Linked DNA regions of Ovis aries. The protein of the gene in region 1 interacts with the protein of each later gene in a biochemical or structural test. Links are inferred from orthologs where the notes say so. Each region holds a gene or a part of one and is shown on either strand. Other genes may lie near its edges. The genes, in order: SNTB1, SLC16A7 and FRMPD4.

Evidence for each region.
Region 2: the proteins of SNTB1 (region 1) and SLC16A7 interact in a test that uses a peptide from one of them, tested with the Homo sapiens proteins (2 studies listed by IntAct, with this or other methods). The link is inferred for Ovis aries from reciprocal best matches to the Homo sapiens genes SNTB1 and SLC16A7.
Region 3: the proteins of SNTB1 (region 1) and FRMPD4 interact in a test that uses a peptide from one of them, tested with the Homo sapiens proteins (2 studies listed by IntAct, with this or other methods). The link is inferred for Ovis aries from reciprocal best matches to the Homo sapiens genes SNTB1 and FRMPD4.

What each region holds. Positions count from the first base shown.
Region 1 is NC_056062.1:94,869,764-94,879,995, forward strand, and holds part of SNTB1 (beta-1-syntrophin), read right to left. Parts: intron 4,986-10,232; coding exon 4,778-4,985; intron 1-4,777. UniProt on the Homo sapiens protein: Adapter protein that binds to and probably organizes the subcellular localization of a variety of membrane proteins. May link various receptors to the actin cytoskeleton and the dystrophin glycoprotein complex.
Region 2 is NC_056056.1:160,016,473-160,027,163, reverse strand, and holds the start of SLC16A7 (monocarboxylate transporter 2), read left to right. Parts: upstream 1-4,156; 5' UTR 4,157-4,344; intron 4,345-10,691. UniProt on the Homo sapiens protein: Proton-coupled monocarboxylate symporter. Catalyzes the rapid transport across the plasma membrane of monocarboxylates such as L-lactate, pyruvate and ketone bodies, acetoacetate, beta-hydroxybutyrate and acetate.
Region 3 is NC_056080.1:10,824,168-10,834,399, forward strand, and holds part of FRMPD4 (FERM and PDZ domain-containing protein 4), read left to right. Parts: intron 1-1,588; coding exon 1,589-1,715; intron 1,716-4,087; coding exon 4,088-4,177; intron 4,178-4,864; coding exon 4,865-5,047; intron 5,048-7,035; coding exon 7,036-7,174; intron 7,175-10,232. UniProt on the Homo sapiens protein: Positive regulator of dendritic spine morphogenesis and density. Required for the maintenance of excitatory synaptic transmission. Binds phosphatidylinositol 4,5-bisphosphate.

The DNA.
Region 1 (10,232 bases):
TTTTATTTTCTCTTTTATTTTTCTTTTGTCCGAAATAGGACCATTAAAGACACCTCAATAATAACTGTAAAAAGACTACCTAAAGAATGATGATTCAAAAAATTTGTCTGGGGCATAATGCGTTTTATAGTCCAGGGTGGAGATGAGCACTCAGGGGGCAAGCAGGGCTTGCAAGGGGTTAAAATGGTTTGAGACTAACTTGATGGCGGAAAGGCTTTTCTGTTGGTGCGCCCGGCCCGCCTGCAGATGAGAGCACCCACGGGGAGAGCAGTGGCCCCGTCAACACGGCCCACAGCTCACAGGCCCACGAACATCAAGGGGACGCGGTGGCAGCCCCGTTCGGAGGGGTGGTGTGCCTGACCTTGGCTGCAGCAGGCTCAGAGAATGGCCGCCAGAGTCCAAGGGGAGAGACAAAGGGGCCGTGATGAGAGCGGCACCAGACTCTACAAATTAAATAAAGGCGAGAAGGACACCATGGCGTCATCCCATTCACTCCTGAGTCCTGCGCCCTGATTTAGAGTGTGACCGTGAATAAGAGGCCTTCCATCTTCCAGGCCCCAGATTCCTCGTCTTTAGAAAGAAGAGGCGTGTCTGATCACTCTCTCGGTTCAGGCTGCTACAATGCATTATCACACACTGGATGGTTGAAAGAACAAACCCTCATTGCTCACAGTTGTGGAGGCTGCAACTTCAAGACCAGGGTGCCAGCACGGGGTCCTGGTGAGGGTCCTCTCCCTGGCTGGGAGAAGCCTCCCTGCCTGACGCATCTTCGTGAGGCGGAGACATTGCTCTGGGTCCTCACTCCTTAGAAGGACACCAACCCTGTCACGGAGCTCCACGCATCTCCATGACTTCATCTAAGCCTCATGACCTCCCAACGCCCCCACCTCCAAATCCACCGCTTTAGGGATTGGGGCTTCAGTCTACAGATTCTGGGGGGAGACAAACATTCAGTCCAGAGAAGTCACCTCTAAGTTCCCTTCTCTCTGACTACATATACGAAGATTTCCTATGGCCAACAAATCAGATTTAAACCGTCTGTCCCGCTTTCAAGATCTTCCATAATTGGGAGCCACCCAAGGTACCGGATTTTCTCATCACTTTCCTTCAGGATAACCCCACTCCCCTTTAGGCCAGTCTCTGCTCTGCTTTCCCTACAAAGTGTGAGCCACCGCATGGTAAGTTGCTTCAGTCGTGTCCTACTCTTTGCGACCCTATGGACCATAGCCCGCCAGGCTCCTCTGTCCATGGGATTCTCCAGGCAAAATACTGGAGTGGGTTGCCGTGCCCTCCTCCAGGGGATCTTCCCGACCCAGGGACGGAACCCGCGTCTCTTCCATCTCCTGCACTGGCAGGCGGGTCCTTTACCCCAAGCGCCATCGCCTCCCTTTCTCTCAGGCTCGTTCTCCTTGGGGAGTGACTGAGTTCTCCCCACTGACTCAGGGTCATTTCTTGAGAGCCATTCTTCTAGTCCCTGGATCATCTCACTGTAAAGAATAATGTTAATATAGAGTTCTCTTTCTGTGTGGTGAAGAGGAGGCTTGAGGATCTGCACTGAAAAGAATCTTAGAAGGGAAACTCTGGTTGCTTTCTATTGTTTTAGTTCAGTAATTGCCAGTTCTAAAAACTTGAAATTGAATATAATATGTACAAACTTTGTCCCAGAGCTACTGTTATTAGTAAAAAAAAAATAAATCAAAGATTAACAGTATAGGAAAAGACAAAGGATATCAATTTAAGATAAATTACAGCTGAATATATATAGGATCACCTGTTATATCTTTACAAATACCAAGTGAATTCTCTGATATTTGTGGTAATACAAGAAAGCCACAGTATTAAGGATTTGCCATTTGTTGTAACATTTTGCTAAAAACCATTCTTATGTCTCCACATCAGGATTCAGTATCAAATATTTATTCAAAAAAATTCCAGTTTGGATTTGCTCCCTTGGACTTGATCTAGAGTAATCTTTTAAGAAGTTTTGAAGATGAAGGCAATAAAAGACATTCTCCCTTCTGATAATTATCCATGCTAAGTCATTACTGATTGCTCTTACCAGCATAATGCATGATACAATTTAAAGAAACATCTGATGATCTGAAAGTACATCAAAAGAACAATCATATTCTAAAAACAGAAAGCTTTTTATGCACCTTTATGACTGCTCCATTGGAATGCTTAATGTTTCTACGGATAGTTTTGGATAAACAAAAGTCATAAGCAGACAGTTTATAAGTAAGAAAATGGAACCTTTGGAAAAAATGCTAATATCACTACTAATGATGATGTAATAACCATTTCTCAACTATCCAAATGGTAATGGTTTTAATTGTAGTTGGTGCTAAAAGAGATGAAAGAACAGTACCTTCTAGAGTTGACAGCATCTCGGTTACTTGCGAGCTGGAGGGATGTGTGTGCTAGACAGCCTCCCCTTGCCTCCAGAGCCAGGCCCCACCATCTGCTGCACTGCTCGGAGCCCAGGGAGGCTGACCTTAACTGAGCACCTGTGGTTCCTGCCTCTGGCTTCCAGGCAGCCTCAACCCAGGGCAGACACTGGTAGGAGATCAGCAGGCAGGGATTCACGGGGATTGTCTCTCTCCTAAGAGACCACAGCTCTCAGTGAATGGCCCTTTTCCAGAGCTGCAAGTCTTGCTAGCTTCAGGTAGCAGCTCCTCTTCCTGGCTACTTCCAGGTAAAGGATGGCAGTGACCTCTCACCATTCAGCTCCTGGTTTCCTCTGTCTCGGCCACACTCACAAACTGTCGCTATGTTAAATCCCGTCCAGTCACCCCTTCTGAATTTGCCATCATTTCCTGCCAGACACTAACACACACAGCACATCCCTGCATCCACTCTGGACCTAACCCAGTAAAGACGTTTGTCATCCCGATCAACCCCTCCCCATTCCCTTCTACAGCAACTGTCGGTTGCTCTTGTAGCCGATTTTCCATTTCAGAACTGCCTCTCCTCATCCATCAGGGCACAGTTTGGATAAGGCTGACCTTAGAACTTTTGTTGGAAATATGGGAGCAAAGAGCCTTCTCTTCACTGAGGCAGCCAGCTATAAAAACAAAACAAAAAAACCACCCAGACAAACCTGGAACTCCTGGGACGCTTGCTAGGGTATAAACCAGGCAAGCGGAGAGAGTGCAAGCCATGCGGAGGCAGGCCCGCTGGCCCCCTGTGAGCCCTGGACCCCGCCGTGCCTGATGCTCCCCCAGACCCTGCCGTGCCTGAAGCTCCCCCTGGACCCCGCTGGCCCTCTGTGAGCCCTGGATCCTGCGGCGCCTGACGCTCACCCTGGACACTGTCATTATCGGAAGTGCTAGTCCCCTTTTCTGTGCTCAAGCTGATCTGAGCTTTCTGTCACTTGCAACTGAAAGATCCCAGACTAACAGGACTGCTCCTGAAGCAAACACATGTGACTGGAGAGAGTGAAGAGCAGAGGGTGAGAGGCTGTGGCTTCCAACACACTGCCGTCCAGACCTGCAGTGCTGTTCTCAGCAAGCAGCCTCACACGTCAGGTCACGAGACACCACCTGTGGCTGCTGTCCATTCTGATCCTGGTGTCACCACCACCTGCACTGGCCCTTTAGTCCTCTGCAATCTGCAAGAGATGGGACAATACCACAGCAAACGACGCACTTTGTGTTGAAGTTGGTGGCTGGGACCCACGCACGAAATGAAGCAAGCAAAGAACAATGGTGGAAAACAGCCAAATGCCCTGTTCAAGCGCCTTCTCAGATGACAGGCTCGTTGGCAGGAAAGCTGTTATTGCAACAATCATTATTCCAATTTACCGCCTATTAGAATGTGAGTCACTGGGAGGTCAGACTGTCCCCAAAGCACACTGTTCCTGAGCACTCATGGTCAAGTTCAAGGAGCAGCGATCAGGTGTAAGGACAATGGCAAAGGCTCAACGCTTTGAAATCAAGAGGATGGTTAACTCCCAGGAGACTGCTGCAGAGTGAGTTTCCCTACCTTCTTCAACACATCACAGCACTTGGGGAAAGAAACCAGAGCGACAGTGTCACCATGACCCCAGGCCCTTTCCAGGGCAGCTGCCCTCCCTGTACTCATGCCTACACGCCTGTCCCCTCCTGCCTAGCACTGTGCCTTGCACAAAACAGGCGCTCAGAAGTGATGACGTTGAGAGCCTGCTGGCTTAAGAGTACAAGTAAAAGATGATATCTGAGAAGAACACGCACAGAGTAGTTGCTTAAGACATCTTCGCTGTTATTATCATCATTGTATGGGTATGTGCAGTTAACCGCTCAGTCGTGTCTGACTCTGCAACCCTATGGACTGGAGCCCACCCAGCTCCTTTGTCCGTAGGATCTTACCGGCAAGATTACAGTTGCTTTATTTGCCAAGTATCTGTGTTAACAGTTAGGTCCATCAAAACCCACAGAAATCTCTTTTTAAAGCAATGATTCCTACTTCCTTACCTGCCAAGAAGACCGTTCTATTGCGCGTCTGAGTTATTTCCCCTGCCCTTCCCCTTCCCATGCACATATGAGAACCAAACTGTCCGGCCGCTTGCTCACTCATGCATCCAGACAGTAGGCAATGAGTGACCACCTGCATTTTGCCACATGCTGGACTGTCTGTGGGGAAACAAAGTTGCCAAAGACACAGAGCTCCTGCATAATGCAGACCCGCTGGAGACGGACAAGAAATCCCAGGGAGAGACTCAGCCTGTGGAACGAGGCATCTGATTTCAGGGGCTGCAGCTTGTGCTGGGAAGAAGCCTGGGTGGGGGATGTTTCCTTACCTTTTCTGCGAGCCAGCCAAGGTGCCTGATTTCCCGGCCCCCAGCAAGGCCCATCGGGCCCAGCTGCTCGCGGGCCTCGGCGATCACGTGGGTCAGCAGGTCACTGACGGTTGTGTGGATGGCGCTGAACCAGGCCTGGGCCGTGGCGGAGTCCTTGGCCCTCAGGACCACACTGTGCTTAGCATCTGGAGAGTGGATTTCAAGCTGCCTAGAGGAGCAGAGAGAGAAGGGTTAGGAGGTTCCCTGGCAGATTTTGTCTCCTCAAGCCCTGAGCTACAAAAGTGAATTAATTTGTTTTTTTCTATCATATATTTTACTTTTAATTTTTTTAGCTTTTTAATTAAGGGTTTTTTTTTTTTTTTTTTTTTTTGCAGTGGGTCTTGTTTCTTTTCCCCTTTTGGCCTCTCCATGAAGCATGCAGAATCTTAGCTCCCTGACCAGGGATTGAGTGGGCACTCCCAGCAGTGGAAGCACAGAGTCCTAACCACTGGGCTGCAGGGAAGCCCCCAACTGAGATTTTTAAATTTATTTTTTAATCGAATAAGAGAGTCTTTAAACTCTAGAGTGATTTACAATTTTCAAAAGTTTCACATAGGTGAGTTCATATCATCCTATGATAACCCTTTCCCTCCCTCCTATCCCTACATCGCCTCTCCCCACTAAAGTGAACTAATTCTTCATTCTTACTTTAAGCTTCCTTTGAATGGCTTATCTTAATGGCCTCATCATCCATCCATCCATTCACTCATTCATCCACAAACACTGTGCCGAGGCATTGGCTGAGCTACTGAGGGCATAGCTATCTAGTCACCTGAACTAAGGATGCCTGGCCTTCCTGTTATTCAGCTGTGTCTTATTAGCAGCATCATATTAAGACTTTCAAGCTGTGAGCTGATATTAATCTGCCTTACTTCTCCATCCCCAGAGGACTTTAACAATATGCTCGCGTCCTAGCAGATGCTGGTGGGATGTAGACTGAAATACCTATCCTCCTGCTTAATTCTACTGTTCATTATTAATTGTGAATATTTTAGTATCAGAGACGGCCAGAGTTTTGCATTCCTCAGGAATCCTGTCTGTGGCACATTTCTCTACCTCTTCATCTTTGTGCACGTGTAACGCAAGGCTTCCCAGTTGGCTCAGTGGTAACGAATTCACCTGCTAAGAGGGCATGCAGGTTCGATGCCTGGATCAGGAAGAGCCCCTGGAGGAGGGCATGGCAACCCCCTCCAGTATCTTTGCCTGGAGAATCCCATGAACAGAGGAGGCTGGTGGGCTACAGTCCACGCGGTCGCAAAGAGACACAGCTGAGCGACTGAACCTGCAAGCGATGAAGGAGAGAACTGGCCGGGGATGAGGTAACAGTGGGGAAAGAGATGCACTAAAATGTGTTTTTTGTTGTTGTTGTTTTGTTTGGTTTGGTTTTTTAAACCTGCACTGGGAGGCTTTTGGGATTTTAGTTCCTGGACCAGTGATTGAACCTGAGCCCCCTGGTGGTGAAAGCTTGGAGTCCTAACCACTGGACCACCAGGAAATTCCCAAAGAGTTATATTTAAAGTCAAACTTCAAAGTTTATGCAAGAACTCCAACGGGATCACCTGAGATTCAGCATGAGATTTGCATACTGTAATTATATGGTAAAAGGCAGAAGTTCTTGACAGATGCTCTTGGTTTTTAAATTTTTTTATTGTGAAGCACTTACAGATTTACACAGTATTGCAAAATCTGGACAAAGACGTCCAGGACACCACCCACTGTGTTTACTCTGATAGTTCCACTCACCCACTCACTCACTCATTCCATTCACTCATTCTATTCACTCGGTTTACTCTGATAGTTCTACTTTATTTAGCTGTAATATATTATAATGTCAGGGCTTCCTAGATGTCTCAGTGGCAAAGAATCCACCTGCCAACAAGAGATGCGGGTTCGATTCCTGGGTGGGAAAGATCCTCTGGAGGAGGAAAGGGCAATCCACTCCAGTGTTCTTGCCTGGGAAATCCCATGGAGCAGCCTGGTGGGCTACAGTCCATGGGGTCAAAGAAGTCAGACCCAACTTAGTGACTAAATGACAACAATACGGTATCAAAACCGGGGCCCTGGCACAGTGGAAGTGTGTAGCTGGACCCGTTTACCACGTGTAGATCCCTGTAAACACCACTGCAAGCAAGGGACAGAACAGAACCACTCCATTACCCTACGCGTTCCCCCAGCCACCCCTGGGGGGCGCTCACAAGTGCACCCGCATTCCCCTGAGCTGCCCCTAGGGGTCACAAGTGAGGCCCGCGTTCCCCCCGGCAGCCCCTAGGGGTCACAAGTGAGGCCCGCGTTCCCCCCGGCAGCCCCTAGAGGTCAGACACTTTACCATCTGAGCCACCAGGAAAGCCTGACCCCAGTTCAATTTCTGGGTCGGGAAGATCCGCTGGAGAAGGGAACGGCTGCCCACTCCAGTATTCTTGGGCTTCCCTTGTGGCTCAGCTGGTAAACAATCTGCCTACAATGCGGGAGACCTGGGTTCGATCCCTGGGTTGGGAATATCCCCTGGAGAAGGGAAAGGCTACCCACTCCAGTATTCTGGCCTGGAGAATTCCGTGGACTCTATAATCCGTGGGGTCGCAAAGAGTCAGACACAACTGAACGACTTTCACTCTCACATCTTATATAATAGAATTAAAGGGGCTTCCTAGGTGGCCCAGGAATAAAGAATCTGCCTGCTAATGCAGGAGATGCAAAAGATATGGGTTCGATCCCTGAGTCAGGAAGATCCCCTGGAAGAACAAATAGCAAGCCACTACAGTGGTCTTGCCTGGTGAGACCCATGGACAGCAGAGCCTGGTAGGCTACAGTCGATAGGGTTCCAAAGAGCTGGACACAACCGAGCAACGGAAGAACAGCCACAAAGCTGGGTGGGACAGAGAGCGACCCAAGGCCAGAAAGCTGGTGACGTCGGGATTCAAGCCATGCCAATCAGGCTCAAAAGGCCATGCCCTTAAACACTGCATTATGATGTCTCTCCTTCAGACAGGATGGCGCCCAGTAAAGGTGCATCTGTTGTGTTCCACAGCTGTCCCAAGGCATCACCACCAACATGCGTGCGTGCTCAGCTTCGCAACTGTGTCCGACTCTCTGCGACCCCGAGGACTGTAGTCCACCAGGCTCCTGGTCCTTGAGATTTTTCAGGCACGAATGCTAGAGTGGGACGCCATTTACTCCACCAGGGGGGTCGTCACCAATAAATATGCCCAACAGTGTCCTCTTTAGCTCCTGAGTTTAAAGCAACAATTCTGCAGATCACCTGAAAATCAGAAGTCCCAATGTAACCTGGCCTCATTTACATTTGAAACCAGCCTTTTAGAGTGAGTAACCCTTTTTACTCATAAACTTTAATTACAGAAAAAGGAGGATTTAAAAAGTAAAATATCTCTAGGGGAGTTTTAGCAATAATTAGCTTTTTTTTTTTTTTTTCAGTAAGAAATCTTCAAGTCTCCTCACTAAAAATCCAAAGGTTTCCTGTGATGAAACAGGGTGTTTTTAAAATGACATTTGTCTTTACCAAGAAGAAAAATACTCTCAAGTCTCTCAGGCATTTTTCAGAGAAATGGTTGGTCAATCTATGGAGAGTTTTCATTCCTTCCCAAAGTTTTTGGAGAAGGAAATGACAACCCACTCCAGTGTTCTTGCCTGGGAAATCCCATGGAGAGAGGAGCCTGGCAGGCTACAGTCCACGGGGTCGCCAGAGTCGGACATGACTGAGCGACTAAACCGCAACCACCGCCAAAGGTCTTACTCTTCAGTGAAGCTGACTAGCCAAGCACAAACTAGGGTTCTCCGAAAGTATCAATGAGAGCTCAACTGGCTTTTCAAATTATTCTATCAATATCCACTATTCTAGGAATTTAAAACACACAAATATTTCTCTTAGAATATTTTCCTTTGAAGACCTGGATTTTTTTTTTTTTTATGACAGCTTGGGAAGCAGTCACTCATCAGGAATCACACATATGTGCAAAAATGATGCCAGCAAAAAAGAGAATATTTCTTTGTTGAGTTGCCAGCGTACCCAGAGGAGAGTTGGTTTATAAAAACAGAGGTACAGGCTAGTGAGGAGGGGGCCCATTTCTCCCAGATTTTGACAGCATTTATCCTTACTGTTAACTTTTAAGTCAGCTTTTAAAGTACAGCTTATAGATAGAAAAGTGCACAGATTATACTGTGTAGCTTAAATGTATTTTCACAAAGGGAACACATTCGAGTCAACCACCAGTCAGACCAAGAAACAGAACATTCCAAGTGTCCCAGACACTCTCCCCTTCCCATTACGTCCCTTCAAATAACCCCTATGAGGATTTCTGTCGCCACAGATAACTTCGTCTCAGGCAAAATGGATGAGGTTCTACTTGCTTTCATTCGCTGTTATTCTTGCCTGCACTGTCAGAGGATCTCAGAGAGGCCACGCTTAAACACCAAGCCCTGTGCCCTCCCGTGGTGGTTCCCAAAGTGTGACCACTGACCAGCAGAGCAGAATCTTCTGGGAGCGCGCTGGAGGTGCGGACTCCTGGTGCATCCCTGGGCCCTCTGAATTAGGGACTCTGGGAGCGCGCTAGAGGTGCGGACTCTCCGTGCATCCCTGGGCCTCTGAATTAGGGGCTCTGAGAGCGTGTTGGAGGTGCGGACTCTCCATGCATCCCTGGGCCTCTGAATTAGGGGCTCTGGGAGTGAAGACAGCAAGATTCCTGCACGTAGTGTCAGTCGCTAGCCGTGTCCGACTCTCTGGGTCCCCGTGGAGTGTATCCTGCCAGGCTCCTCTGTCCACAGGATTCTCCAGGCAAGAACACAGGAGTGGGTTGTCATTTCCTTCTCTAAGGAATCTTCCCGACCCAGGGATCCAACCCAGGTCTCCTGCATTGCAGGCAGATTTTTTACCAAACGAGTCGCCACCTCCAGACAAATATGATGCAATTTAAGTTTGAGAAGGGTGCTCTATAGACTCACAAGAAAAAAGCCCTGATCTTGGTTGTTTGCCAGGGTTCCCAGTGGCTGAGGTGAACATGCTGAAAGGTGATCTGACCTTCCCCCAATCAGTGTCAAAGGAGAAGCAGAGAGGACGTAGAAAAGGGGGGCCTGTGACTTTTTACAGTCAAACACAGCAGCAGTAGCAGTTCAGCACTGAAAGTATTCTTCAGGAACCTGGGAGTAGTTTATTATTATTTTTAAACATCTAATTAAACACAGATGTTTGGACTTCACCACAGAACTATTAAGAATTTCTAGAGGTTGAGGCCTGGGTAAATGCTTTACATGGTCCACAGAGTATATGGATTAAGGATCATGGCGGGCCTCTCCGAGCCCAAGCTCACACCTCCCAAGGAGCTGGCCTGGAGGGGATCATCACCAGAAGGACAACGCATCACAGAGCTCCTGGGGGCGTGTCAGCAACCCACTGCTCAGTTACACA
Region 2 (10,691 bases), on another chromosome or scaffold:
AATTACTGGTTCTTAATACTCTTTAGCCAGAAATTATGTAAGCTGCTTTCATTCATACTCTGTTAGATCTAATCCCAATAGAACTGTAAGAGAAACCAGGTTATGTAGTAACATGCAGATCATGGATACGATTAGTGCCAGGAGCCTCTAGCACATGTCTGTTCCAAAAACAGTCACACTATCATCCTTTTCCTCCATTGGGCGAACATTGTTGATTACCTTCTATCTGCAGGAATTTGTGCTGGATGTTAAAAGATTACAGAGAGGAATTAAACGTCATCGCTACTCTCCAGCAGCCTAAAAGACAGGTAGACAGAAAAAAATTACAATATGGCCAACTGTGTAGCAGAAAAAAACTGTCCCAAATAGAGGCATATGCCATGTTCCATGGGAAAGAGCACAGAGGAAGATGGGAATTCATTTTTAGCAGAAGAATCCTTGAAATGCTACAGGTGATGACTTACATGCTGGGCCTTGAAGGGGGAAAAAAAAAAAAGGACTTAGACAAGTTTGATACAGGAAAGAGGGTAGGGAATGAGAAAAGACAGAAAAATTGGAGAAGACAACAGCATGACTGAGGAATGAAGGGGCATAGAATCTGGAATATGAGGTTGTGGGTGTGTAATATAAGTTTGGGCTTTATTAGTTTGCATGTTGTGTATATGTTTATTTGTTCTAGGAATATTTAGTCTATCGCTATCCCTTGTTTCTCCTATTGTTATTTCACCTACGAATAGAAATCAACGCACAAATTTTACCAAAAATATTTCAAGTTCTGATCATAAGATTTGATTTCCCCCTAAGTTGTATTTTTTTCTTAATTTCTGAAGAATATTGAGATTGCAAGTCATAGGAGAAATTGACTGGATTTATTCCTACCTAATACTCTTGCCTGGAAAATCTCATGGACGGAGGAGCCTGGTGTGCTGCAGTCCATGGGGTCGCTGAGAGTTGGACACGACTCAGTGACTTCACTTTCACTTTTCACTTTCAAGCATTGGAGAAGGAAATGGCAACCCACTCCAGTGTTCTTGCCTGGAGAATCCCAGGGACGGGGGAGCCTGGTGGGCTGCCATCTATAGGGTCACACAGAGTCGGACACGACTGAAGCGACTTAGCAGCAGCAGCAGCAATACTCTTCACAGATTCCTCTCTAAGCCAACCAAATATTTACATAGCAGGCCTAGCCATAGCAACAAGGCAATTTAGAAATGAACACCCACATACTAACACTGGGGCATTAGATAAATTGGATCCAGGGTTTTAATTGTTGGAAAAACAAGACTTAAAAAGAAAATTTGCTACAGTTTTGATACAGTGCTTTGAGTAATGATGGTTAAGAGTTTGTAAATGGGTTAAATAGGCCAAGAATATGAGGCCATGAAAAGTACAGGGTGAAAAAGAAATATAGGACAATAAAAGAAAAATCAGAGAGAAGGAAAAGGGTGAATAGGATCTTTCTTTTTCCTTCTCTTCTTTGAAGTAAAATAAAAACCATGAATGAACTAGAAAAATGTCAGTAGTGAACACTCAAGAAAATGACCTTGAAGTATGTATCTTAATGTTTCTTTTTAAAATTTAACATTCTTCCTTGTGAAAATGACGTGTACATTCCATCATTATCTAATGTCTATTATATCTTATCCAAGTGTCAGTTTGCAGATTTTTGTTTGTTTGAAATTAAAGTTCTTTCTTGAATTTCTGCCATAGTTATTTAGTTTCTAAACTACCCTTCTGTGAGCAATACTGTCTTCCCCACTTTTTGATGTTACTAATAACGTTATTTGGAGAAGGCAATGGCACCCCACTCCAGTACTCTTGCCTGGAAAATCCCATGGACGGAGGAGCCTGGTAGGCTGCAGTCCATGGGGTCGCGAAGAGTCGGACACAACTGAGCAACTTCACTTTGACTTTTCACTTTCATGCATTGGAGAAGGAAATGACAACCCATTCCAGTATTCTTGCCTAGAGAATCCCAGGGAAGGGGGAGCCTGGTGGGCTGCCGTCTATGGGGTCGCACAGAGTCGGACAGGACTGAAGTGACTTAGCAGCAGCAGCAGCAATAACGTTATTAACTCATCTTATATTATCTTCCATCAACTTCACATATATCATCTCACCTAAATCTTCCAATAGCAATAAAAAGTTGATTTTGTTACTATTTTGTAATAGTAATAAACTATTAGCAGAAAGTAAAATTCCAGCCTACAGACTAGCTGCGGTAGAAGCAAGGAAATGTGAATTTAGCCAACTACTTAGTTTCCACTTGTAAAATGTGAATAATCTGCCAGCTACAAATTGGCACTTGCCATCTATTGCTACAGGATTAAATCATGAGGTGCTGCAGCTGCTGACCTTCAACACCCCCTTAAAGGAGTTCGGAGTGGAGATCAGGAATGAGACGCTCTGTGCTCTGGAAAAAACTGGCAGAAAAGGCCTTTAGATAGTTAGATATTTTTCAGGAGAAGGTTTTACAAGTCTGATTCTGACATCTTCTCATATCTAGAAAAGAATTAAAACCCTTCATGGTGACCTCTACTCCTCAGTGACTAGCAGCAACCTTCTGCAAAAACATGTGCTGGTTTGCATGTAACCCCACCTCCACCAAAGTCACATAAATACTGACCTTCACCCTGGCTCTTGAGGGCTGTTTCTCAGAGCTATCTGAAATGCTGGCTTCCAGGCTGTAGACCTCATTTTGCCTCAAATTAAACAACTCACAACTCCTATGTGGTGTATTTTTTTCAGCCAACAAATCTAATAGTGTTATTGTATTAATTGGGATAATTCATGTAAGTACCTAGAACAGTGTCTGACAGTGATAAACATTTAATAAATAAGTAATTATCATAATTATTACCATAACATCATTTTGATTCTTTGTCCCTTGGGCTTCAAAACTGCAATTATTTCAATTAAATTATCTTGGCAGTTTAGAAATGATTTAACTCTAGAACAAACAAAAGCTTCTAGTAAGTTACATTTTTTACCTAAGATGAATGCAACATTTTTATATCTTTCATTTTGGGGGGGGAGCAGGAAAGGGGGAGGGTCAGTAATTGATAGAAAAACTGGAAAATGATTTCTCAAATCCAAGACCCTGATTATCCTTCCAGATTCTTTTTCTTTAAGTAATACTTCAACCTTAAAAATATTAGAGGAAGCCAATGTAAATGTTCATTTCCAGCACTTCTTTTTTCCAACTTCCCCCAAAACATGTCTAGACAGGGGGAGGAAACAAAGGTATAAGAAATCAAACCAAGACTGATTTTACCATTATTCCTAGCAGTGTGAGTGTAAGCGAGAGCGTGTGTGTAGCAAATAACTAAGTCCTATTTTGAGGAATTAAATAATTTGAAGGACTTCCCTATCTGTCCTGTGATTAAGACTTCTGCTTCCACTGCACGGGGGGCGTGGTTCTGTCCATGAAGGAACTAAGACCCCCACAGCCCATGTGGCCAATAAATAAATATATATAATTTGAGAAACTAAGACGAAATCATTTACAAATGACTTTCTCTCACTTCTTTCACATTTTCAAGTCCTTTTGTGCTACTCCTCCGCCCTCGGGGTAAAATTTATTTTTCCCTTAGAGTGAGTGAGTGGGTGGATGAACCGAATCTGCATCACCGCAGTGATCCCTCTTCTTGTGCCCCCCCAAAGACTTCAGTTGAAGAATGGCCCAACACTTTAACTGCGAGCTCACAAGGAGACTCAGAGTTCTGTCTCCGTGCCTTGGGCCAGGTTCTCTTTTCGTACGGCTTTCCCTGCCTATAGCTTGCCCTACTGCCCAGCGTACCTACACAAAGGTACCACACACCGGCTCCTAGGTTGTGAGCCAAGTACTTCTAGTAAAGCACGTCCCAACCGTTGTGGAACAACTGTTCGACCAGACTTGTGGCTTTCTCTCAGGGTCAAAAGTAGTCTGCAGTGCAGCGCTCCGAGCCATCGAGTGTCTTTGACAGTCGCCTGGAGCATGCTCAGTCGGCTTGGAGTCACTGGGCTGCAGCCGGCGCCCACCCGCGGCCGCGGGTTCCCGCAAAGCCCCGGGGGATCGCCGCCGCCCTCCCCGGCCACCTCCCCCTCACGGAGCCCTCGCCCTCCTCCTCCCCGTGCCCTCCCCGTCCCTCCCCCGGTGTCGCGGCGCGCGCTCCTCGGCATCCACTAGGGTGCTCAGCCGCCGCGCCTCCCCTCCCCGCCGCCTCCTCCTCCACCTCCGGCGGCGGGCGAGGACTCGTCCAGGGACATAAATAAAAAAATAATTCCATGCACCCTTTGATAGCGAGGCGAACTGGCGGCAGACGGACCGCTGCAGCGCCCACCCAGGGCCGGAGACCAGGTCAAGTAAGTGACACCCCGGGAGGAAACGAGGACTAGGAGGAGGAGGGGACGCTGGCGGAGAGGAAGGCGAGCGCGCGTGTCACCCGAGCTGCCCGGGGAACGGCACGCGCGTGTGAAACTAATGGCCAGTCTGTGACACGCGCGCCAAAGCCAAGTTTGCCCGCGAGCCCTTATATAGACAAAAATCCCCTGAGCGGCCGCCGGAGAGCTCGCGTCACCGAAGCGCGCGCACTGCAACGCGGGACCTGCGGGGGCGCAGTCGGGCGCGGGTTCCGGGCGCGCGCGCGTCGGGGAGGGGAGTCCCCAGGGGTCCAGCGCGGAGAGTGCTCCGCGCCGGCGCGCGCTCCCGGCCTCCAGTGCCCGCACCCGGAGCCCTGGCACCGAGGCTCGCCCGGCGCCGTATCCCGCCCTCCTCGCCCCCGCCCCCTTTCTTGGACGTCTGAGTTTCCCTGGCAGGTTCCCACCTGGCGCTTCTCCGCAGCATCTCGCCCCGTGCCCGCCAGCACACCTGGTGGGCCGGGACTGCGAAGCTGGGTATTGGGCGGGAGTGGGGGTGGGGGTGAGCGTGTATAGGGAGCCTCTTCTTTTAGCAGATGGTCGCACTCAGAGAGGCTGGGAAGAAGGGACGATATACCGGGGTCGGGGTGGGGGTAAGAGTTTTTTTATGTTTTGGGTCCCAGGTAGCCTGGCGGGGGCGAGGCAGAAGGAAAGAAAGGTGTGTAAGGGAGAGACACACCCGGGGACAGAAAAGGAACGTTACTTAACGCGGGCGGAGGAGGGCCTGCGCCTCCCGGCTGTTTTTCCTGGCAGAGCTGTGGCGCCACGCTGGGGGTGCCAGGCCCAGCCAGGTAGCGAGGAGGCTAGTGAGGCGGCTCACGTGTGAACTGCCTCCTCTTTCGGGCGGATGCTGCTTGGGCGGCTACTGTTTCCACCCCATTTTTCTCCCTAACTTCCGCGAAATTGCAGACTGGTCTTGGCAGGGCGGGGTGGGGGAGGATTGTGACCAAGGCCACTTTCCTGGTAGGGCTGAGGAGGGAAATTTGTGATCTACGTCAGGGATGTTAAAATTACACACACAACACACGCAGGAGAGAAAACGTGCGGTTTACTCTACAAGTACCTCTGGTAGTAGTAGTAAAGCTAGTCTGTCCTATCTTCTTTCTCGGGTCTGTTAAGGGGCATAGCAGGGGAGTAAAACCACGAGCAGTGATGAGGGTGGTGCGGAAAAGCGTGGGCGGAAGGAAACAGTGAGCACAAAATGCCCTTTCCTGGCACCCAGTGCGTTATGGTAAATCCAAACTGGGAACTCAGGAGGGTGCAGACTTTCAACGGACCCTTGGCTTGACTGTGCTGTGTCATTGGAATCTCAAGTACTAAGTGCATTTTTGGGGAACTTGGCTGAAAAATTAGAGCTGGGTTCTGGCAGCAGAGACTGATGAGGGTTGAATGAGGTGACCCTTTCATGGCCCTGGTGAGGCAATCTTAGCCCCACTCTCTGCTTCTGAGCACATTGCGTTTAAAGCAATCTAAGCCGGCAACCGAATGATCTCAGTAAAAGGGAAAGATTACTTAGGCAACTCAGTGTGTTGTGTAACAACTCATAAAGTCAGAAATTAGGTGTTTTTTTTGTTGTTTTTTTTTTGCAAAATTCACATCAGCAGTTTGCAATTACGTACTCCCCTCCCCTTTGGCTGTTTCAATAATGGTAAGTGAAGGAACAAAGTAGTGCCCCTTGCTATAAATGTTCAGTTTATTTGTAGACGTGCATTTAGTCTTTTATAATATTTAGCTGATATTTTTGGCCTTGAGCCCTCCTGAAGGGAAAAAGGGCAAAGAAACTTTAAGAAATATACTTTATGGAGAGTTATATTCTTGGGTCATGGATCAGAAGTAAAAGAAGTCTCCTGCGATTGCTTTTCATTATGTATTCATTTATCAAACTTTTTTTTTTTGAGACATTCACATGGAAAAAGGTGATTAACTTTAGAGTTAGACCTGGATTTCAAGCTCAATTCTTCGCTTTTGTAAGACTAAGTAATTATTCAACAATCTTATCCTTAGTTTTTCTTACTCATACAATGAAATTAGTGGTATCTACCCTGAAGTGCTATTGTGAGGAATAAAGTGTACTGAAAACAGCTGAAAAATAAACTAGCCAAGGTGGTCCAGTGATAAAGAATCCACCTTCCAATATAGGGGACACAGATTTGATCCCTGGTCTGGAAGATCCGTATACCTCAGGGCACTGAGTCTGTGCACCACAACTGTTGAGCCCATGTGCTGCAACTACTGAAGCCCACTTGACCTAGAGCCCCTGCTCCTCAACAAGAGAACCCACTGCAATGAGAAGCCTGAACACCGCACTGAAGAGTAGAGCCTGCTCCTGGCAACTACAGAGAGCACCAAAGACCCAGTGTTGCCAAAAGTAAAATATATAAAAATATATTTTGACAAAAATAAAGTAGCTATTTTTGAAACCCTAAAATCACTCCAGACACTGCACTGCGGTTACAAAGATAAATAAGGTTGGAATTCTGCTTTCAAAAATAAACAAAAACAAAAATATCTAGTCATCTGGGCTGATCTTCTTTCTGTCCTCTTTGCTGCTTGTTTCCTTCTCAATGGAAGAAGCATGTTTCTCAAGGAATTTGAAAGGATGTAGCAGTTTTAAGAAATGTAAGATGTGCTAAGAGGCACATGTGAGTAGGGCACCTTGCTTCAGAAACCTGTGTGTCCAGCCCCATCCATTTGCCCGTTGACCCCGTATAAACAAGTAACAGGATTTTCTGTTGTTATGAAGGCAGGACATCCCTTCCCTGAAGAATGTCTTTGCTAATGGATTTCTTTCTTTTCTTTTTTTATTTTAAGGGATTGAGCAGCAAGTTTTTTTCTGCACGTTGGACAGTCTAATCCCCTCACCCTGAGAAGCCCAAGAGTATAGTCACTATAACATTTTCTCTATAATGCTCACCATGTTCTGGGCACTGTCTGTTAACTCCTTTTATCACTTTAACAATCCTCAGAGGAGGATCTATCGATACTCACATTTACAGAAGAGGTGCAAAGTTAAGAAACTTACTCAAAGTGCACAGCTAGCAAGCGGCTGAGTGGGGGGTGTGCCCCCAGGTAGGCTGTCTGACTTTAACCACTGAGTAGTATGGCTTCTGCTGCATGAAGCTGATTGAGGGCAGGGACTTCGTCTATCGTGTTCTTCCTTCCTCGTGCAGTGCCTGGCAGGTGATAGTCCTGAACAACTGATTATAGAAAAAAATGAAGCAAGGAGGGAGGGAGAAACAAAGGAAGAGTGAGCATCCTTTCTTGCCTACAACTCTCAGTCTGGCAGGGAATTCCTCCTGGAACTCTGCCCTGGGGGCAGGATAGTTGAGGATCTTTTTATGATTCCTTTGTTACTTATACTGTGTGAGCACAAGCATAGAAATAACTCAGTATATGGTCTCTGATGAAGCCCCCACAACATTGTAAAGCAGTTATCCTCCAATAAAAAATGAATGTAAAAAATCCAAATCTTTCATATTTGCATTAACTCTTGTTTTAAAAGGTGCAGGGACTTCCCTGGTGGTCCAGTGGCTAAGACTCTGCACTCCCAACGCAGGGGTCTGGGTTCCATCCCTGATCAGGGAACCAGATCCCACGTGCCAGCCAAGTAAATAAATGTTTTATTTAAAAAAACACATGGTAGCTAGTGTCAGGTATTAAATATCTGGCCTTAAGACTAATAGGTTTTTATAAGATTCACTGGCTTATTCTTCTTAACAGATTTTTGGGAAGCCTTTGAAAAGCAAAGTTTCTCAGGAGATGGCATGATAGTGCTGAATTGCAAAATAAACCTTGGAATGAACTCTCATTGAGAGGTCATCATTGTTGACTTTCTCAAAACTATTTGGATCAAAGTATGTAGGAAATGTGTTGAGAAACAACTGCAAACACTAAATCTCTGTGAGTAATAGAACTTTCTTTTAAAAACTTACAGAGAAAGCTTTATTTTCTCAATAGGTCCCTGAAATGGTGACTACAGGGTCCTAATCTACCTACGTGGAAGTTTCACTTGTTTTTATTAACCTTTATTGAAATCCCAGATAAGTTCATGAAAATTTTACAAGGCATTTGGGTAACAACTACAAGATGCTGGTGTAAAGATATTTTTGTTAAAAGTTATGCACAGGTAAGATAGCCCCACAAGAAAATGACTTACTGTGGGGTTTAGTAGGGCTTCCCTGGTGGCTCAGTGGTAAAGTGGTAAAGACTCCATCTGCCAATGCAGGAGATGCGGGTTCATTCCCTAGGTTGGTGGGATGCCCTGGAGTAAGAAATGGCAACCCACTCCGGTGTTCTTGCCTGGGAAATCCCACAGACAGAGGAGCCTGGGGGGCTACAGACCATGGATTTGCCAAAGAGTCAGACATGACTTAGCAACTAAACAACAACAATAATTTGGTTTAGTTATCTGAACTGCTGATTAATTTTTGGTCATGTTTGGAATTAAAACATGGAATTTAATTAAAAATTAAAAATTTCAATGAAAGTATCTAGTATGAATGGTAACACAGAGAAATATTTGTTTAGATAAGTAAAGGTCTGTACAAAATACTGGTATTTTTTAAAAAGTGTTTACATTAAACGTTGGCTGTTTCATACCTAATAGCACAATGACATGTAGTATTATTAATCATCCACACTCCTACACAGTTTCTGATTAGAGCTAATGTATAGAAGAGTTATAAATTATAAGAAGCTGCTCTACTAAGTAATTTATTTGAAGACCTATTTCTTTGGGAACTAGATTAGACGTGAATAAACGGTAAAACCAAAAAGGCATGCATTCGCTTGAGAAGTTTCTAAGGGATGAACTGATTAATAATATTTGCCTGTGTTTGAAATTGATTCTCTAAAATGTCAGAAGCTGAAGTTCTGTCAGTTTTTCTCAAATATACAAAAGGATTCATTCAGTGATGGGCTTCCCTTGTAGCTCAGTTGGTAAAGAATCTGCCTGTAAGGCAAGAGACCCAGTTTTATTGCTGGGTTGGGAAGATACCCTGGAGAAGGAAATGGCAACCCACTCCAGTATTCTTGCCTGGAGAATCCCCTGGACAGAGGAGCCTGGCAGGCTCCACTCTATGGTGTTGCAAGCAGACACAACTAAGCGACTAAACCACCACTACCACAACATTCAGTGATAAACAGTGTTTCTTGACAGGTAACAGTGTTGGCATTTTGGGCAGGGCTCTTTTGCATGGTGTAGGAACGCTGCTTTTATTGCAGGACACTTAGTGTCTGTGACCCCTGTCCCCCATATGCTGATAGTTTCCCCTTAGTCATAATTACCAAAAGTGTCCCCTGACATTGAATACACTTTTTGGAAGAAAGGTACTATACGTGATTGAAAATTACTGGCCTGTAAAATCAAATTGAAAATGTTTAAGGAAATTATCTTTGAAATCGGTCTATCTTCCAATAAGAAATTCTTTTGTGTTTTCCTCAAAGGATAAAAAGAGTGAGTTCTTCCTTGTAAGATATATTAAGTATTAACATTTTATAATCAGGTTATAACTGACCTCTGAGGCTCTAAATCTTCACTGACTTCACACTATCCGCAGCCTTTGGCAATGTTGGCACCTGCTGCTTCTTAAACTCCTCTCTTGATTTCTACGTGCTCTTTGTGCTTCTCCTACTTCTCTGGTTGCTCGCTAGTGGCTTCCTCTTTGACTTTCCTTTCATTGCATAGCTCAGCTGGTAAAGAATCTGCCTGCAATGCAGGAGACAATCCCCGGTTCGAAATTCTTGGATTGGGAAGGCCCCCTGGAGAAGGGATAGGCTACTCACTCCACTATTCTTGGGCTTCCCTTGTGGCTCAGATGATAAAATGCAGGAGAGCTGGATTCAACCTCTGGGTCAGGAAAATCCCCTGGAGAAGGGAATGGATACCTACTTCAATTTTCTTGCCTGGAGAATTCCATGGACAGAGGAGCCTGGTGGGCTCAAAGAGTCAGACGTGATTGAGCGACTTGCACTTTCACCTACTCACTCAAGTATGTATTCCTCAGTTTCTGTTTTGAATTCTTCTCTTGTCTAAATTTGATCCATTGACAAAGCTTGTCCTCTCTTGGACTGTGCTTTGACCTCAGTAGGAGTAACACTCAAGCCATTATCTTCAACCCTGACCTTCACATAGCTGTGGCCAGAACTTTCCAAATGCCTGCTGGACAGCTCCCCTCGTCTGTGCTGCTGACACCGCCAACACCCTTCTGAACACTCTTCTTTCTTTCTGTTGGCTCTGTTTCTTTTATTGGTGTTAGTATTCTAATCTAGAATGAGACTCTCAAGCCCCCCAC
Region 3 (10,232 bases), on another chromosome or scaffold:
GGGACAGATCCTTGTGTGCAGTTTGAGAACCATAGGCCTTCCAATCTCAGTGCACTTCTTTTTGCAGATGGTTTGTTTCTTTCTCTCTTAGTTTCTCTGAAAGCCAAGAGAGATTCAGCTCAAAAAGAGGTCTCACACCCAAGTGAATCTCTTCACACCCTCACTCAATCCCCTTTCTGAGGTTTTTGGGGACAGATGAAATTGGATCCCATTTGAAAATGTGGCCTGCACAACTTGTGATGATTTTCAGACAACCAAAATGCATCTCTGTTCCTACTCTCTGTACCCACATTTTACCAGGTTGGACATGGTACAGTCAAAAACTTCCAGAGATATCTAGCTTGCCTAAGAATCTTGCAGAGCCTGTGATGATTAATTAATGTTCTCATTAATTAATTCATTCACACAACAAATGTTCACTGAGTATTTTGTATGATATTTCTACTAGGAGAAAAGAAAATAGTAATAAGTATAAATTGTTATCTTAACCTTTGAAGAATTTTTGATCTGATTATAAAGACAAGACATAGAATGTAAAATAATGATATAAGTAGAATTACAAGGTAGCCCATCAGAAGTGCCAAATGATGGACGAAAATAAGTACAAGTTGAGGAGAAGGAGGAGGAAGCAAGTGGTGATCATGAAAAACACCATCTTAACTAGGGAAAAGCATGTGAATGGCCAAGTGGAGGGAGGCTGACTTCCTACTCTTCTTTAGAGAGAATCTGGAGCAGGAGAAATAACCAGAACCTTCTCAGAAGTCTTCATATAATTTAGAAGATACTGGTTGGGCACATGACCGATCAGGATAAATTTCCTAGAATTCAAAACATGGAACCGTCTTAGGATAGGATTCTAGGCATTGTTGGAGAACTAGATTCTTGGCAAGAATATACTAACCCAGTCCCATTGTTTGTTTTTTCCTAGTATAGCCACACCTATGAGAGATGGTTACATCTCCCTTTCAGTACCAAACACACTTAAGGGTCCTAAATCCTACCCTGACTCCATACCGGAAACCCGCTACCCACCTCAACAAGAACTATTGATGGAAGGAGTTAGATAGACATTATCTGGGTGGGAGAAAAGAGGATTGTGTGTTTCTAAAGAAATCACCATTGGTGAGAGAGATGGGGAGGAAAGAATGGTTTGGAACCATGAAGGAAGTATACTCATCCTTCTAAGGGAATAGAGAAAGACGACCGTGGGCGGACAGGGGGAGGTGACAATGAGAATAAACAAAGGGATGGGGAAAAGTTGTTGGAAGTACAGACTCAGACATGTCAATGAGTTTTAAGAGACTCGGAGGTGTGATGGATAAAGTGTCTCTTCAGTTTCCATTGATCCCAAATGCTCCTTTCTGGACAGTGAGGAATATATTTCTTTTAAAATGCAAACATATGGATTAATGATCAAATAGTATGTTTCCTGAGTGTAAATTAAAGGTTGCTTCCCTAATTGGGGACTTGTCTCCATTCTCTGCCTTCCTAAGAATTCGTTTGTTCCAACAAACATCAGAGCGCCATTTTGTCTTAGATAACTAATCATCACGAGAATGTGGAATTAAAGATCTGCTCTTTATTGCAGAAAAGAATGGGGATTAGAGACTTTTCTTCCCTCTGCTGTGCTGCAAAGCATGAAAGAGAAGAACATAAAGAAAGCACTTTCACACCTTGTCAAAGCAAATCAAAACTTGGTACCACCCGGTAAAAAGGTATCACATTTGCATCTTAATAGAAAATGGATTTTAAAGAGAGAGCTTGCATGCATTTTTTTAAATGTTTAAAATTAGCCCATGAATAAAATACTCAGCACCAGATTTTCAGAAGCTGTAACACTATATAACCTTCTCTTACTTTAACTATTCACATGTTTCTAAGACTAATGAAAAAAAAAGTATTCTTATGGAGACCTCTTTATTCCTTGCACACTATAGACTCCTTATTGTACAGTTTGTGCGCATTCACATGTGCATGCAGGAGAACCTTGCAAAGCCTCTAAGACCTTGGGATTAGAGGACAGAATTGCCAAATAATTTCATATTTTCCTCATAGTTTTGCATACCACTCAGACCAGCTTAAGTGCACAGCAGTCAGTAAGGGTCCCTGCAGACTTGATGCCACATTAATTAAACCGAAGTTTCTCTCCCTTGGCTCTCTTGACATTTGGGATCAGATCATTTTTGGTTGGGGAGAAGGGCTGTCCTGCACACTGTGTGATATTTAGCATTATCTCTGGTCTCTATCCATGAGGTGTCAGCACCCATCCCCTCAATCATGACAAACAAAAATGTCTCCAGATTTTGTCCAAATCATCTCAATTGACAACCACTGACCTGAACTGTACTTTTAGAGAGAAGATAAGTTCAGTTCTGTCACTCACCATCATTAGCGTTAAAATCTTTTGTTTTTTTAATCGAGCAGAAGAAACAGAAAGAACATTTAAAAACATACTGTTGGTCAGAATAGAAAGTTATGTTTATTGGTAATAAAAAGCAAAAGGTTTTAGAAACTAGAGAGAGAAGGAGCCTTATGTAAACTGTAAAACTGAAGGCAGCCTGCCAACCCAAGAACATTTTCTCAATGATATTAGCCATCGATATATGTGTGACTGGAGTACAGATTATTTCTGTGGGTAGTTTCTTGGTCTTAGTATCTGATTTTAAGTCCTTTTTATTGGCTATCACATACTTATTTCTGCTCCTTCATCACCCCAATGACTATTTTTAAACATGTAATCAAGTTCGACACACTACCAGTCACCTTTGACTTACTTCTCAGTTTCCGTAAGTATTCAGCCTATGGAAATATAGTAGGATGTCATGGGTCAAGATGTTCTAAATGTCAGTTCTGATTTGCCCAAAGCTACTTTTCTTTTAATTGACTTGGTGTGATTTTTTTCCCCCAAGCCTAGCCCACTGGTTTTGTAATAATTTGGATAACGGCTCTAAGATTGGTCGATCAATGTCCTTCTATAAAGGTCATTTTTTCTAGTTAAGAGTGAGAGGTTTGCTTTCGCATCAATTTGCAAAGTGCTTTGGATTTTTGAAAGGAGTAGGCTGGATCATTGGTCCTAAATTACAATTATATGAAGGACAGTGCGTTGAGGTACAGTTAACAAATGAGTTGGCAAGTTATCTGCAGTTGAAAACAGAGTTTTACAGCCCTTGCCACTTGATATTCTGCACCTTGTTGGAAAATTTCACCCCTAACAAACTCTTCTGGAACATTTGTTATGAAATGTGGACTTTTTTCTTTCATTTTTTTTAATTTAAGAAAGATTTATTGAAATATAGTTAATCTAAAATGCTTCAAGTATGCAGCAAAGTGATTCAGTTATACGTATATGTGTGTGTATATATATGTTTTCAGTTTCTTTTCCATTATAGATTATTACAAAGATATTAAATATAGTCCCCTATTCTCCACAGTAGGACCATGTTGTTTATCTATTTTATATTTATATAGTAGCTTTATATCATATTTTACATTGAAATGTGGACTTTTTTCAATCAAGTATTTTTTAGGATATGGGAATCTGCATTTTTAAGTCTTCTTAAGGATCAATTTTACTGGATAAAATTTCATTTGTCAATCATTTATGAAACTCGCTAGATTCTTGGAATTACATTACTAGAGACTTAGATAGGAATTTAAAACATTTCCACAATGATGCTCAAAAAGCTCATTTTCCCTAAAATCTTACAAAGACTGGAAGAAACAAGATGGGATGGTAGAGCCTGTTTAAAAGGCTTTCTATGGATTGAAGGTATGTATTCAAAAGAGCTCCCACAAACTCTGCATACCCCATTTCAGTGGAGAATTTTATTATCTTGTTCTGACTTGTTGAATGCCCTGGCTCAGCATATCTATACTTCCCCCCCGCCAATAAAAAAATGTTTAAGCTAGATGTCCTGTTACAGCCCTTGATCAGCTTACTTTGATTCTTCATGAAGAGCCCTTGTCACACCCCATCTGCTGGCAGTAGTAGCATCCTTCTCATTTGCCTTTACTTTCGGCTAGTCTCCAGCAGAAACAAAACCACACCTGATGGAGTGAACACCTGCGGTTTCTTTTCTCTCCTCAGCTCTCTGCACTGCAAGCCAAGGTCCATTATCTCAAGTTCCTCAGTGACCTCCGACTGTATGGGGGCCGTGTGTTCAAGGCAACATTAGTGGTAATTTCTTTTTCTTGCTTTTTTGTGGAAGTCACAGAAGCCTTCAAAATATCACTGCCTAGGCTGTCTTGAATGAGCTGCCTTTGATGACAAAAGCAAATCAGCTGTGAATCTTTTCCAGCCCTCATTTCTAATTGACTGCACCCTAGTCTGAAAATATCAGAAGAAATGTTAAGCTAGATAACACCACTGCAGAATGCCCCAGAAAAGGAAATATGAAGAGCTGAGAGAATTGGTGCACTCTCACAATGGCCTCCTTTTAAATCATTGGGCCAGAATGATTTGAAAAAGAAAAAAAAATCCTCATTTCTGATAGCCTCTCATGATAATGAATATGCATGCTATGATAACATTTACTTCCTACATTATTCATAATTTATCAGAGCCTTGCTGTAATCATATATCTGGTTCTTCTAATTGGATGATTTAGTACAATATAACCTGGGAATACTTTCTAAAGAAAATGTAATCTTAGAAAAACAGACTCTCAGGTTCAACTATGCCTGGTGCTTCAGAGCATTTTCATTGTTATTTTATTTATTTATTTGTTTTGGCCACATCATGAAAATTGCAGAATCTTAGTTCCCCAACCAGGGACGGAACCTGGACCACGGGCAGTGAAAGCATGGACCAGGGAATTGCCAGAGGTCTGGTATTTTTAAAATTTTGTGGACATGTCTTTCTCAGCAGGCAGAAAAGCGCTCAGAAGTGACCCTCTTGGTGGGACCTCGCTATGGCATAAGCCATGTCATAAACACCAAAACCAATCTGGTGGCTCTTTTAGCTGACTTCAGCCATGTCAACAGGATCGAGATGTTTACTGAAGAGGAGAGCTTGGTGAGGGTGGAGCTCCATGTGCTGGACGTGAAGGTAAGTCTTTCAGATATTGACATATGACCTTGCTTCCTGATAGTGCTTCTGATATTTACAAAGCAAGCAAAATTTCAATCTGTGCAGCCCATCAGTGGTGAAATGGGTAAAGAAAAAATCCACTCAACTCAGACATGAGGGCTCCAGTCCTCACTAGACGGCTCTGTGATTAGGGGACAAGTCCCTTTCTTTCTCTGAGCTCCATCTCTTCAGCTCTATATGAGAAAGCAAATGAGTTTGGGTCCAAGGTCCTGTCTGGCTCCAGAGTGATGGGGAGTAGGGGAAATGTTTCCCTGCTTACTTTCTAGAATATGTGGTTCTTATGTAGAGAGTCAGGGAGAGTCTTCTCAACTTTGTTTAGATTCGCCATTCCCTTTTTGATGTAGCATGCATATGTGCTCATTCTTTTGGAAAGACTAAGTATTTCAGTCAATCTGTCTTTTCACGCTGTAGCAATTAGTGGTGGCCGAACATCTGGCCCCTTGAATATCATGGCCATTTCACTGGAAACAGCCATCTGAGTTTGTCCTCAGAGGGCAGACATTTCCTCCCCAAACAGAAGTTGACAGGAAGCAATCCAGGTCCCCTGTCCCCGCCGTCTTGTCCCAGTCATAGATGAGTCATTGGATTTGGGCAGCATTAATGTATGAGACGTTTCTGTAGAGAAAAGGCCCAGTGACTCCACAGAGGAAACAGGTTGAACCGTGAGAAGTCGTGTTCTGAGAATGGGGGAAGGACCCACTCCCAGCTTCACCCCGACCCCCAGTGCTGTGGGAGGGGCAGATTAAGAGTAGAGGAGAACGTGGAAATGGGCTTCTACACAACAGAAGGGACTTGTCAAGGGAGAGCGTGGAGCTCAGGCATGCCGACCATGGCCCATGGTGTTTCATGGGCTGAATCCAGGGCACTGCACTTGACTTCATGGCAACGAATGTCCAAGGGGAGACTTGGCACACCTGTCCTGGTCCCTGACCAAAGATGCTAAGAGCAATGTAGCCTGTCATGTAAAAGGGGCAGAAGAATGCGTGTATCGGGCGCAGTCATCACAGACCTGATAACAGGGAAAATCCATCTCAAACAGAAGGAGGTGACAGGACCCTGTGGATGGGTTCCTGTTTATATAAAAGAATTGCAGGGCTGCTTGGAGGGAGACTGCCATTGAAATGGAAGGAAAAGGCAGCAAGTCGAGTTGATCAGGGCCTTGGGGCGGAAGTTAGGTTTCATCACCCAAGGCTACCGTCCTGGCCAGTGTCCTGCCCCTGGCAGTGAAAGCAAGGGACCTGTCATCTCGCTGCTTCTGTGCCTCTCCGGTTGCCTGCTTTTTTCTTGCTCCCTTATTTTCCTCTCACTTTCTCTCTTTTTCAACAAGAACACACCAGCATATCCACCCTTCCTTTCTCAATGAGGATAGTTGCTTCCCCGTATGCCCAAGATCCTCGGCCAATTATGTTTCCAGAAAGTTGGGGCAAGGCCTTTTCTCAAATCCTATGTCTATTTTCCCCTCCCTGTGAATTTACAGTTTCTTTTAGAAGTATCCTTTTCCTGGATCTCTTCAACACTTTTCATTCAGTCTTAACAGTAATTTCCACTTGATTTTTACTTCAATTCAACACAAATTTTCACCATGAACCCAAACTTAGTCTTCCTGTGATTTTTTTTCAGATAGTGAATTCGTATCTGTTAACTGACTCCGTACCTGTGACTTTTAAAAAGATTAACGATTTGAAACAAAACCAGTGTTATTTGTTTTAACCCAAGATAACTTGGAAAAGACTCCAAATGTCTAGACTTTCAAAATGGTGTCACCTGAACTTTTTTCACTCAGGCTCTCTGTTATGCCTGACCTTTCCCTCATTTGTGTTTCTCCAATGAAACAGTCACTCCAAAAGTTCGTTTGTTCACATTTCATAAACACAAATGTCACTGTTGTCACTTGAGGAAGGTTATTAAGGGGGAATGTTTTAACCAAAGTGTTCTCTTCTGTGTAGCCCATCACGCTCCTGATGGAGTCTTCAGACGCCATGAACCTGGCCTGCTTAACGGCTGGATACTACCGTCTGCTTGTGGATTCCAGGAGGTCAATATTTAACATGGCCAACAAGAAAAATGCAGGGACCCAGGACACAGGTATTCTCTTCCCAAACTCAGGAGGCACCGACCTCCCTTCCCCATGCCAACTGACAACAGTAATAAGGATGTTTCCTTTTAAGGAGAGATGAGAAGATTTAATCATTATAGACGTACAGGCTAATATAGGAAGAGAGAGAAGTAAAGGATTCCATATTTTGAGACCAGACAATGTATTGCTGATATAAACTAGGGGTGAGTTAGCACTGCAGAAGCAAAATCTAGTATGACAAAGCAATCTGGTACAATGTTGTTGTTGTGGTTTGAATTATTAAAAAGAATGATCTAAGACATGTTGACCAAACTTGTTTACTTTAAAGTGATTAATATTTCAAAAAATAATAAAGTAAGGATATTTCTTGAAAAATTAAAAAGTAGACCCATAAAAGCATCTAAGGTCCAAATTTAACACAAAAACATCCAAATACTTCTGATATGTTCTAATATTTTTTTAATGAAAATGTTGATTTTTTTTTTTTAATCACATTTTACATGGGGCTTCCCTTGTGGCTCAGCTGATAAAGAATCTGCCTACAATGTGAGAGGCCTGGGTTCGATCCCTGGGTTGGGAAGATCCCCTGGAGAAGGGAACGACTACCCACTCCAGTATCTGGCCTGTAGAATTCCATGGACTGTGTAGCGTCGTTCCATGGACACAGCTGAGCGACTTTCACTTTCTTTCACATGTCATTTGGCAAATATGGTACCTAGCTCCAAAGTGGAGAAGGCAATGGCACCCCACTCCAGTACTCTTGCCTGGAGAATCCCATGGACAGAGGAGCCTGGTAGGCTGCAGTCCATGAGGTCGCTGAGAGTTGGACATGACTGAGCAACATCACTTTCCCTTTTTACTTTCATGCATTGGAGAAGGAAATGGCAACCCACTCCAGTGTTCTTGCCTGGAGAATCCCAGGGACGGGGGAGCCTCGTGGGCTGCCATCTATGGGGTCGCACAGAGTCGGACACGACTGAAGCGACTTAGCAGCAGCAGCTCCAAAGCAGTGATTTAATTATTGTGAAGGGTGTAGGTCTCAGCCTTTCTGTCTGATTTTTAACTGCCTCATTCTCCCAGAGCTAAGTCAGGGTGCAGAGAATTCAGGATGGAATGCCCAGTAGTTGTGAGCCTCCAAATTTATAAGCAGCTGACCCCTCATTAAGGAGCCCTACATCCAGACGCCAAGTGCCTCCTCCCACGTCAGACTCATGTCCAGGGTTCTGGGACTTCTATCTTGGGAAGACATAGAAATTGTCCAACCCCTGGACTTGGGGCTCTAGAAGGGACCCTGGACATCATATTACCTTTTTAGCAGAAGCATCAAAATGGCAAAAATCAAATAATTCATCTCAGCCCTTTGACAAGAAGAAATAGCCCCAAAAGTGCAGATAAGGGGGGTTGTAGCTGTTAAACTGAGAGTTTCTTTGAGGGAAGATGGTTTTCATTTATTCTAGAACTGTTTTCTGAAATTTATTTTATTAGAGTATAGTTGATTTACAGTGTTGTGTTAATTTCCCCTGTACAGCAAAGTTATTCAGTTATACATATATCTGTGTGTGTGTGTATACATTCTTTTCACATTCTTTTCCTTTATGGTTTATCCCACAATATTGAATATAGTTCCCTGTGCTGTACAGTAGGACCTTATTGTTTATCCATTCTATATATAATAGTTTGCATATTTTTCTTCAGTGTTTGAACTTTTCCTCTATCTATAGTGGAAAGTCAGTAAATGTGGCTGATGACAGAGCCTACCATTCAAGTCAGAGATACTGAGCCATGAAAAATGTATAATTAGAGGCTCCATAATTAGAGTTATTTTAAAAGAAAAGGAAATTCTGGGAGAACAAATTCCATTGTCAGTTTTTGAAAGAAAATGGAAGAGAAAAGAAAGGAAGGAACATCTACTTTTAAACTTATCAGGAAACAAAAATTATTATTCCCTGAAAATATAGTAATATGCAGCTAGGCACACATATAGATAGGCTGGTACACAGTTTATTGTGACAGCTTGTTGAGTGGAAAAAGTTACAGTCAAAGGGTAAAGGAAAACCAGAGAGTTGAGCAAGGCATGATGGAAGGTGACTGGGACTTTCAGCCAGATTTCATCCCAACCCACCTTGAAGTGTCTGTTTGATTAAAAATACATTGAATCAAAGAGGAGGTGGATGTGTGTGCTGGGTTCAGTGGTGAATATCTTTATGACCACATGCTTTCATTGAGCAAGGAGATTTAGAGCAATTGAACTGTGACTTTTGAAATTACAAAGAGCAGTTCCACAATTTAACATATTTCTTTTGTGTTGGAAAATCTTAAAATCCTAAAGTGTATTGTTAAAATCAAACCTTTTCCCCATGGACAGTTAAGATTATATGGCTGCAAGAGGAAAGCCAAAGCTACCATTCTACAGATGGTTACAGTAATAGGGGCCTCAGTTCTGTCCAATTTATAGCAACTCACAATGTGTTATTGAATAAAGTTTCATGAGGCAAAAACTTAGTTCCAAAAAGTATCATATCACCATCGGGAAATAATGGGGCTTCAACCTTTTGGTCATTTCTCTTGGTTCGACAGTGAGCCTGAGGGTGAGGGCACATGTTCCGAATAGCACACACAAGCCTGCATGTATGCATGCACGTGTTTAATAAGAGAGGACGAGGGAGAGAGATGGCACACTCCAAAAAGCAACTAACTGGTTGACCCAAGCAGAGCTGCAGCTCGGAGCTCAGCTTCCTCTAATGGCTGAAAAGCCTCCCTTCTCTTCAGAAATTCCTCCAACGATCTCCTGAGACTCAAAAAACTGTAGAGTCTGAAGTCTGTTAAGGCCAGCTCATCTTAGGAGACATCCTTCTGTGTCTCCTAGATCATTCCAGAAGCCGAATCAGGACACCCTTCTAGAAGAAAGCCGAGAGAGTGTGTGTGTTTTCTTCTTGTCTCAAACTGATCAAAGACCTTCATCAAGACCTCTAGCTAGGAACAGTAAACCCCTCTTTCTTCTTCACTGTCTTGAAAATTAACCCTTCAAGTACTTTGCAAATCCCTGAACTTATGTAGTTAAGCATC